2 linked regions of the Caenorhabditis elegans genome follow. The protein of the gene in region 1 interacts with the protein of each later gene in a pairwise test. Each region holds a gene or a part of one and is shown on either strand. Other genes may lie near its edges. The genes, in order: unc-34 and sut-1.

Evidence for each region.
Region 2: the proteins of unc-34 (region 1) and sut-1 interact in a two-hybrid assay, tested with the Caenorhabditis elegans proteins (one study listed by BioGRID).

What each region holds. Positions count from the first base shown.
Region 1 is NC_003283.11:980,764-985,955, forward strand, and holds the start of unc-34 (WH1 domain-containing protein), read left to right. Parts: upstream 1-1,942; coding exon 1,943-1,947; intron 1,948-2,047; exon of another isoform or gene 2,048-2,143; intron 2,144-4,332; coding exon 4,333-4,712; intron 4,713-5,192.
Region 2 is NC_003280.10:1,120,457-1,125,458, forward strand, and holds sut-1 (SUppressor of Tau pathology), read right to left. Parts: upstream 2,810-5,002; 5' UTR 2,798-2,809; coding exon 2,777-2,797; intron 2,717-2,776; coding exon 2,643-2,716; intron 2,593-2,642; coding exon 2,508-2,592; intron 2,411-2,507; coding exon 2,212-2,410; intron 1,350-2,211; coding exon 1,132-1,349; intron 733-1,131; coding exon 622-732; 3' UTR 557-621; downstream 1-556. Other genes in the region: eri-3 (Reverse transcriptase domain-containing protein), read left to right, coding at 3,080-3,185, 3,231-3,304, 3,479-3,650, 3,822-4,003, 4,584-4,928.

The sequences.
Region 1 (5,192 bases):
AATGAGACACTCTGACACCACGTGACAACACGATTTTCGCGTAAAATGTGTTGTACAATACGCATTCTCAGTTTCAGACTAATGGGGCCATTTTTCGATGTATCGTTTTTTGTTTCAGGGGGGGGGGGGGGGGGGGGGGGGAAATCAAGAAATCGGAAAAAAAAAGTTCAGAAAATTGAATTTTTTCAACAAATTGAATTTTTGTTCATGTCGATGAAAAAACAAAAAAACAAAAATTTTAAGATACTTTTTGAAAAATCAAAACATTTTTCTACATAGCTGAAAAACGAAATTATAGGGGTTTTCAACTCAAAACTTCCTGGGCTTTTTCGGCCATTTCGTGTCTTCGTGCGCCTTTAAACTACAGTGTTTTTTTCAAACTTAAAAATTTGAATAAATATATTGCCCACGCAAATGTATATTGAACACACTGCATGTTTGCACTTTGTTCGTCATACAGAAAGTGAGACGACGACGACAATGAGTCATTCACTTTTTTATGACAATTCGAAATCTAATCTCTTGTGTCTCGAAGCGATTTCCTTAGAAGTTTTAATTTAAGAAACTACCTTTTATTGTTGTTTAAAAAACCATGATCCCCCCCCCGTGCAACTCGTTTCCGGAAACGGTCTCCATCAGCCTGTGTTTCGTCACTCTCACCCCTTCCCCATTTTTTGTTCCCACTCGGAAACTCTTTCTCTCTCTCGGGTTTCTCACTGTAACGATGGCCGGCACAACAGACAATGAATTTTGATATTTTTGTGTTTTCTGTTTGCACAGTTATTAGAGCATTTTCCATTTTTTTCGCGGGGTTTTCACAGTTTTTTTTGTTTGAAAATTAAAACAAAAATCATGAGTTCAATCAAAAATAATTATTTAGTTTTTCAATTATAAACGAATTTGGCAAATTTTTACAATGTTTTCCATTGATGGGCAATATTTTTTTAATGAAAAAAACCTACAAAAATACCAAAAATTTGAATCAAAAAAGTAATTTTTGATTCATTGCACACTTTTGAGCTCAAAGCAAAAACAGCACTTTTTTTTTCAAAAATTTTACCAAATTTTGAAAATAATTTTTTACGGATTTTTAGGTGTCAAAAAGTGTTTGAAAAAACCAAAATTTCTCAATTTTTGAAAAAAAATTGTTCAAAAAATATATTTTTTCGATTTTCAGAAATTTCTTTTTAAAAAAATCGATATCACACTTTGCTGAAAAAATATTTGCAAAATCTGTAAAAAAAAAATACAAAAAAACTTTTTTAAAACAAAATTTTTCCCAATTCTAGAAAAAAATCATTAATTCCGACCAACGAAAAATCGATAATTTTTCGATTTTTTTTCAAATAATTCCAAAAAAAATTTCTCGATTATCCTAAAAATCTTAAAAATCGATTTTTTTTAAATTGATTTTTTTAAAAATTTTCTAAAAAAAAATTTCCCGCTTTTTGAAAAAAATTCAAAAATTCTTTAACAAATGTTTTCTCCGATTTTCTGAAATTTTGAAAAAAAAACTAGATTTCTCGAAAAATAGCTTCAAATTTGTCCATTTTCCTCTTTTTTCCTCTTTTTAGAGATCAAAATGAACAAAATTTAATAAAAAGTTTAAACGATTTTTCCAAGGTTTTCCAGAAAATCGAAAATTCAATTTTCTGAAAAATCGATTTTTTCCCCTCCCCGAACATTTTTCCCTATAAATCTCGTTCTTTTTTTCGTCATAAAAAATGCATATTTTTCTGTTTTTTCCCTTCTCACATTCTCATTTTTCAGCCAAACCTCCACCAAAAAACTTCAAAATTTTTGCCGTTGCATTTCGAATGCGTGAAACACTGACCGATTGCTGTTGCTGCTGCTGTTGACAAGACACAAAATCTGCCGTAAAAGTGCACTTTTTTGAGCAAAAAGAGCAAAAGGAGATTAGATTGCACTTTTTTGAGCCAGAATGAGGTAATAATGACTATGGAGATGGGGAACTTTTTATGGGAAAATTTGAAAAAAAATTGAAAAAAAAAACCAAAAAATTGGCCTAAAAATTGCAAAAGTTCGGCCACGAGCTTGTGTCGATTTACGCAGCTCGTGTACTTCCCGAGGAAAAGTGTGAATTTTATGTTTTAGGCCAGTTTTTGGCGCTAAAATACTTGATTTTTGACCATTTTCGCTAAATTTTGATCGTTTTCACGTATTTTCGTTGTTTTCAGCATAAAATTATAAAAATTTTGAACAAAATACTATGAGTTATTGATAAAATCGCGAATTGAGTGTAAAAAAAATTTTCAAAAATCGATATTCTCCTCGTGGAGTACACGAGCTCCGTAAATCGACACAGAGGAGCATTTTTTTTCAGAAAAAAATTTGCATGCTCCTCGGGGAGTACACGAGTTATAAAATTTATTTGCCAATTTTTTCGTGCTGGGACCTAATAGGAATGCTCCTTTGAATGCAGACAATTGAAAAAAAACTGTTTTTAGCAGAATTCCCTTCAAAATGAAACCAACGACCAATCAGCGATTCGCACCGCCCACTTTCTAACCAATCAGTAGCTACAAGCATTCTGATTGGTTCAAAAGTGGGCGGAGCGGTTCGCTGATTGGTCGCTGTTCTCATTTTGAAGGGAATTCAGTTTGAGACTATTTTGGGGTTTTTTGAAGCGAAATTTTCATTCACGCTACTCTCCGCACGGATTTCTGGCTTCCCTCATAAATTGAAATGGAAGAGTTTTCCGAACTAGGCCATTTTGGCTCGGCCATATCTGGGGTAGATTTACGGCGCGTTGCGTGTCTCGTTGCGGCTCGATTTTAGTTGTAAAGCTAAATGTATTTGTCCGTGTGGAGTACACGACACTTTTCCACGCGTTGTCCGGCGGACGATTGTCAATGTAGCGCGAAAAATTCAATGAGCAAGGCCAGAACCCCCGTGTCTCCGCGATCTACCACCCAGCAAAAATCCATTTTTTGACTGATTCACAGCGTCTGACTGTAATGTTGACACTGAAGCTCTCTAATGTTTTTTTTGTGTGTGTGTGAGGTGATGCTGTGTGTTCCTATTTGCACAAATACCTAGTGTCCAGCAGAAGGAAGAGAACTGGATGAGCAGTGAAAAGAGCCCGTGCCAATTGCTGCCACTTATCATGTCCGGCTCGACCTCCGAGAGAGGGACGAGACTAAAATTAAATGAAATGAGAAACAATAAAAATTGAGTGGAAATTTAGAGAGTGATTGGATTTTTTTTGTAAAGTGGTGTAGTCGATTTTTTTTTATTGCTTTATTAGACTCAAATGTTTGTTTGAAAACACCGATTTTTTAAATGAAACTTCTTGAAAACTTCTCCAAAAAAAAAGTTATGACCGCTCGAAAAATGACCTAAAATTAGTTGAAATTTGAAATTTGAAAAATGCCGCAGCGGCTGGAAACAATATTTTGGAAAACTCCCGACTTTATTATACCTAAATGAAGTTGAAAATGCAAGATAATTGAATTGCATACTCAAAATTTGAAGGTGATTTCGAAAAAGTTAGTTTCCAGTCGCTGTGACAAGTCAAATTTCGAATTTCAACTAATTTTAGGTCACTTTTCAAGCCGCCATAACTTTTTTTTGAGAAGTTTCATTATAAAATTCGGTGTTTTCAAACAATTTTGAGTCTAATAAAGCAATAACAAATTTCGTCTGCAACACCACCTTTAATCAGATACCATTATTTAAAGTTTCGAAAATCTAGTAGGTTCGCATATATAAGTGGTCGGTTCTATTACATCTGAAAGAGCTCAAAATTCGCAACTTGTGCAAAAAGTTGATCCGAACCTTTTTTAAAAGATGACAAAAATCTCATTTTTTACCTTCTTCAATTTCGCCAACTTTCGAATTATCGAAAATATTCTCAAATTCCCTGAGAATGTCATATTATTAAATTGCGAGTGAAAAAAGTTACAATTCCACAAAAACCGCATTTACTATGATGATAGAAATTACTTTTTCACACTTTTTACCTCGATATTAGTCGAATTGCCAAACATTTTCGATTTCCGGCCACCGAAAAAAAACCAACTTTTTCTTGTCATTTTTGAAACAAGTATATTTTGAAAAAATGATTTTTAGTGCAATCATATTACATGTGCACGAAATTCGGAGAATGCGTAGTTTTTGTGTCGATATACGAGCTCGGTTCGATAAATCAATTAGTTTCGAGCCCGTAAATCGACACAAGCGCTACAGTAGTAATTAAAAAAATTACTGTGGTTTTCGGTACGAGATTTTTTGCGCGTCAAATATGTTGTGTAATACGCATTCTCAGAACTTAGTTTCATTTTTTCCCACCAAAAAATTCAAATTTTCCAGTAGCGAAGCATGTATCGCGACGGCAATGGCCCGAGTGATGACCTACAACGAATCGACAAAAGGATGGGTACTACTCGGCGGAAATGATGATTCAATGACAAATGTTCGCCTAATCCAAGACATTCGGCGACCCGAGTTTCGGATTGTATCCAACCGCGCTGACAGCACGAATATCTTGAATTGTAATATTTATCGAGGAATCAAATATCACAAGGCCACACCAATGTTTCATCAATGGCGTACCGAACAGCGGCGGGTGTATGGGCTGAATTTCGAGAATGAACAGGATGCGACAATGTTTTTAAGCATTGTGTTACAGGCGATTGAGACGTTGAAAGTTCATGATATGAATGGAATTAGTGATTATCAACAGATGCATCGTGCGTTTTTCAAATATAGCTTTCACACGACAAAAATCCCAAGATATAAAAAAACCTAACCAGAGATAAAAATCGAAAATAAAAAATTATCGATTTTCCGGAAAAACGAAGCATCATAACATTGTATAAAATTTATGTTTAGTTTTCATCAGAAACACATCAGAAAACGTATAATTTTTTTGCTCATTTTTCTACAATTTTTAATTTTCCGACACTACTTGAATAACCCCATAAATTATCAAAAAATCATCAAAAATATACAAAAAATACCCAAAAATATCGAAACTGTCAAGTGACTTTTTCAATAGAAAATGGGGTGCAGCACTATTTTTTGGACATTTTTTGAATGCAGCACTATTAGAGACTGCAGTACTACTGGATATGCAGCACTATTAGAGAATATACGGTATATATTTATTTATTTATTTATTTATGGTCTCCAAAAAACAAAAAGTTCTCTGTTTTTCTCTGAAAGTTCAC
Region 2 (5,002 bases), on another chromosome or scaffold:
ATTTTTGGCTCAACTGGTAAGAGGGCTGACTGGTACGAAATGGGTCTGGGGTTCGATTCCACGCAATGACAGAAATTTTTTTTTATGAATTTCTAAACATGGCTTTACCTAAAAATCCAAAAGTGCACACTTTTACTAAAAAAAGAGCATCACCTTGATTCAATTATAATATCCTTACTCTGTCACGTGCCTACGTGCCTACATGCCTCTCTCATGCTAACCGACGTACCTACCTCATCCCTACCTACGTGCCTACACTCTTAGCTTATGCCTACACGCCTACCTGCCTACCTACAGCATACCTGCCTACGCGCCTACACTTTTACCTCATACCTACATGCTAACATCATGTCTACATATCTGCATACACTCCTACCTAATGCTAACCAACGTGCCTACACTCTTACCTGATGCCTACACAACTACATCATGCCTACCTATCTGCATACATGCCTATTCTCTAAATTTTTGCCTACACACCTGTCTCGTGCCTACCTCAAGCCTACCTACATGCCTACACGCCTATCAACTCCCCAAAAAACGAAAAAAAAAACGGTGGAATTTGTTGAAAATTCATTAAAAGTGAAAAAAAAATATTTTTATTTAATTGTACAAAATTTATCAAATTTGATGTCCACCGATTTGTGGAGGAGGACACGTGTTCGAGTGCGGAGCCAGGACCATTTTCTTCTCGCGGAGAGCATCTAGAAGGAGCCAACAGGCGACCGGGTTCTGAAAAATTCAAAATTTGGGCATAGCTTCCGCATCCCCAGTGACAAATGTGCTCTATTGCACAAATTGTTGGTTGGAATACGGTATTTATTGCATGTTTCAGCCGAGAATACCGATATTCTAGCCATCAATGAGGATAAAGGCACACAAGTCACAGATTATCAGTAGAGCGTATTTGCATTAGCTAGGAAATTCAAATTTCTGGCTAAAATTTGAATTTTAACGGGAATTTTGAACTTTTGGGGGAAAATAACGCATTTTTTGAGAAAAAATGTCAAAAACGGGTCAAAATTCGTGTTTTAATAGGCAAAAACACCTCAAAAACGCCATTTTCTCGGGATTTTCAGATATTTTCGGGCTATTTTTCAGATTTTCCAGGATTTTCCAAAAATTCCCTACAATTTGCTGCTCGGTCTCCGGTTTGCAGTGTGCCGACGCCGCTCGTTCACCCCATTTCGCAAAAAGTGGGTCCCGCGCATCGTAGATCGGCTTATTGTTTCCCCATAGTTGTGGTGGTGGTTGTTGCGTGGGCGGTGGTGCGGCGGCTGGAGCTCCCTGAGCTACACGTCCTACGGCTCCGAACATCACGTCTTGTGGCGGTGGTTGCTGGTGTTCTGCTGGTAAAAATTTGAATTTTTGAGTGTTTCAAGTGCGCTCTGATGCGAATTTTAGAGGGAAATTTGAATTTTTTGGCAATTTTGAATTTTTGAGTGTTTCAAGTGCGCTCTAATGCGAATTTTGGCGGTAAATTCGAATTTTTCCTAAAAATTGAATTTGTCGGTGTTGCAAATCAGCTCTAATGCGAATTTTAGCGAGAAATTCGAATTTTCTAGTGTCTAAAATGCGCTACAATACAAATTTTAACGGAAAATTCAAAATTTTTCTAAAGTTTTGAAATTTCAAGTGTTTCAAGTGCGCTCTAATGCGAATTTTGGTGAAAAATTCAAATTTTCACAAAATTTCGAATTTTCAAGTGTTTCAAGTGCGCTCCAATGCAAATTTCAAATAATAATTTAAATTTTCACAGAATTCTTGAATTTTCTAGTGTCTAAAGTGCGCTCTAATGCAAATTTTAGGCGGAAGTTTATATTTTAACAAAAGTTTGAATTTCCGAGTGATTCAAGTGCGCTCTAATGCTAATTTCAGCGGGAAATTCGATTTTTTCGTAAAAATTGAACTTTTCGGTGCTGCAAATGTGCTCTAGTGTGAATTGTAGCGGAAAACTGAGATTTTCGGTTCAAAATTCAACTTTTCATAAAATTTTGAAATATTGAATGTTCCAAGTGCGCTCCAATGCGAATTTTGGTGGAAAAATCAAATTTTTACAAAATTTTGAATTTCTCCGTGTTTCAAGGGCGCTCCAATGCAAATATCGGCGAAAAAGTCAAATTTTTACGGAATTTTGAATTTCGGCTGTTCCAAATGCGCTCTAATGCAAATTTCAGCGAAAAATTCAAATTTTCCGGTTAAAAACCGTACGTGGCGGTCTCTGCATCATCATATTCTGCATCATTTGTTGCTGCTGGAGCTGAGCTGCAGCAGCGGCTCTTTTCTGCATTTCCGTCTGCTCCATTCCTCTCAAATGATGTGCCATGTAGGCTTCTTGTGATTGTGCGTAGGCGGCCGCCGCCGCTTCTGCCTCCTTGTCAACTGCCGCCGCTTTTCGGTGCTTTTGTTGCTGAAAATTGAACATTTTAAAGTAAATTCAGCATTTTTGGGTCAAAAATTGTCTTTTTTCCAGATTTTTCTATAATTTTTAGGTTTTTTTTACGAACCTGTGACGTTCTCGCCTCCACTTCTTTCTCCCACTGCTCGAATTGCTGTACATACGAATTATAAGCCTCCGTGCCAATGGAACCCCTGAAAATCATCCAAATTTGCAATTTTTCCCCGAAACTCGAGTTTCCCACTTATTATTCTCCTTCCACTGCTCGAATTGAGCTCGATAGTCTGCGTATTGCTTCTGCAACTCTTCCTCTGATACCTGGAAATAGAGAAAAATCGATTTTCTGCGAAAAATCCTTGAAAAACGATAAAAACTCACTTTTTTCGAGGCTCCCGACATAATTATCTGAAATTTAAATAACTTTCTATAGATTTTATGAGAAAAAATGGAGAAAATCGACGGAAAACTGGCGAAAATCGATAAAAAACAATTTTTTTCAAAAAAATAAATGGTGGCCGAGGAGGGGTTTTCTAGGCCATTTTGACTTTAGACTCGGCCACCACGATTTTTTGAATTAATTTCGCTGATTTTTTCGCTATTTTTATTCATTTTCTCCCGTTTTTTCTGATTTTTTCTGTTAAAATCAATAAAAATTCCTAAAAATCCGATTTTTCTTCAGGTATGCAACCCGTTCTTGTAAATAGTCGACCATTACGGGTGAAATCGCACGAATCCGAGTCAAAACTCAATTTAATCGAGCAAGAAGACCAGTTTGAAGGCGCAAATTGTGAGTTTTTAGTGCCAAATTTGATTTTAAAGCTTGTAAATTCAGATTCAAGCTCGTCTGGTGTCATAATATGCTATTCGAATGGTACCGGAGAGGTTATTACGCAGGAGGCGTTTGATGTAAGGGAATTTCCAGGGAAAATCGATATTTGGAGTCCTAAAATATGCAAATTATTGATAAAAATCGCAAAAATTGCCTTAAAAACACGACGAAAAAACAGTTAAAAATCGAAAAAAAAACCATGATTTTCCAATTTTTTTTTTGCAAAAAATTTAAAAACTCGCAATTTTCAGGATTCCGGCATTCATTTTATCTTCTCAAAAGCCACGTGTATACAATATCCGTCAAATTTCGACCCAATCGGTGTGGGATCCGTCGTTCAGATCTTCTGGAGCCGGAGCTTCGAACGGGTGGTCCGCGGGAATCATATTATAGTGCAAATCGAGAAAATGGAGGTTTATAAGTGTAAGTTTGACCCGGAAATTCGAATTTCCCGCCAAAATTCACCCTGAAACACTTGCAAATTCGAAAATTCGGTGAAAATTCAAGTTTATAACCTAAAAATTTGAATTTCCCGCCGACCGGATGCTGCAAGCTCGCTCCACCGAACAAATCATGAGAAATTCAAATTTTCAGGTTGTGCAATGCTCCGCGAGCAGGTTTTCGTCACATTCAACTCCCCGTCGACTGCTGGCGTCGCAATTGGAGTCACCGAACGAAATATTACTGTAGCTTTCCATCCGAACTGCTCGCCTGTTATTCGCTACGAGACCTTAAAGGCGCATAGCATTGGACGCACCGAATTCGAGATTAAAGATGTACGGGAATTTGAATTTTCCAACGGAAAAAATGTGCTCTATTGAGAAAATTGCGAAAAAAACGGGGTTTTGCCTTTGAATTTTTAATTGAAAAAGTGAATTTTAAATAAATTATTGCCGAAAATTAGATTTTTCATTGAAAAATTTTTTTAAAAACAATTTTCTTCGAAGAAAAATTTAATTTTGGCTGAAAAACGTGCATTCTCCACTTAAAAAAACATTTCCCACCCACCGCGTGCTGCGAGTGCGCTCCAATGCAAATTTTGCATTAGCGCGCATTTGCAGCTTGCGGTCAGCGAGAAATTCGAATTTTTGGGTTGAAATTGATAGAATTTAACTCAAAAATTCAAATTTCCCGTCAGAATACTACTTTACACAGAATATCTCTACTCAAAATTCACTTTTTTCGTTCAAAATATCAGTTTTAAACCTGAAATTTCAAATTTCCCGCGGATCGCATGCTGCAGATGCGCTCCGATGCAAAATTTGCAATAGAGCGCATTTACAGCTTGCGGTCGGCGGGAAATTTGAATTTTTGGGCTAAAAAAGCGGATTTTCACCAAAAATTCAAATTTTCCAGAGACACCGAGAGAACACGAATCGAATGGTGGACGTTATCCTGGCGGCAGTACCATTCCGCGTCGAAATCCACGGAAACGTCGATAAAATCCCATTTTTCGTCATTGAAAAGTGCCGAAATTCGCCGGGCCGATCCGGCGCCGCTGTCATCACAAAAATTATGAAAAATCATTTTATGGAAGCGAATTTCCTGCAAAATTCCGAATCGATCTACTTTGATTCGACGTCTTGCCACTCGAATATTCTCGAAAAAGTCAGCATTGGCTCACTGATTAATGTGCTTGCCGACCCCACATTTGCCACGTCATCATACAAATGGTATGGCTATGACGTCACTCTGTGTAATGTTCGTTTTTTAGTGATTTTTTACCAATTTTTACGCAAAAAATTTGAGATTTTCGTGTTTTTTCCCGCGATTTT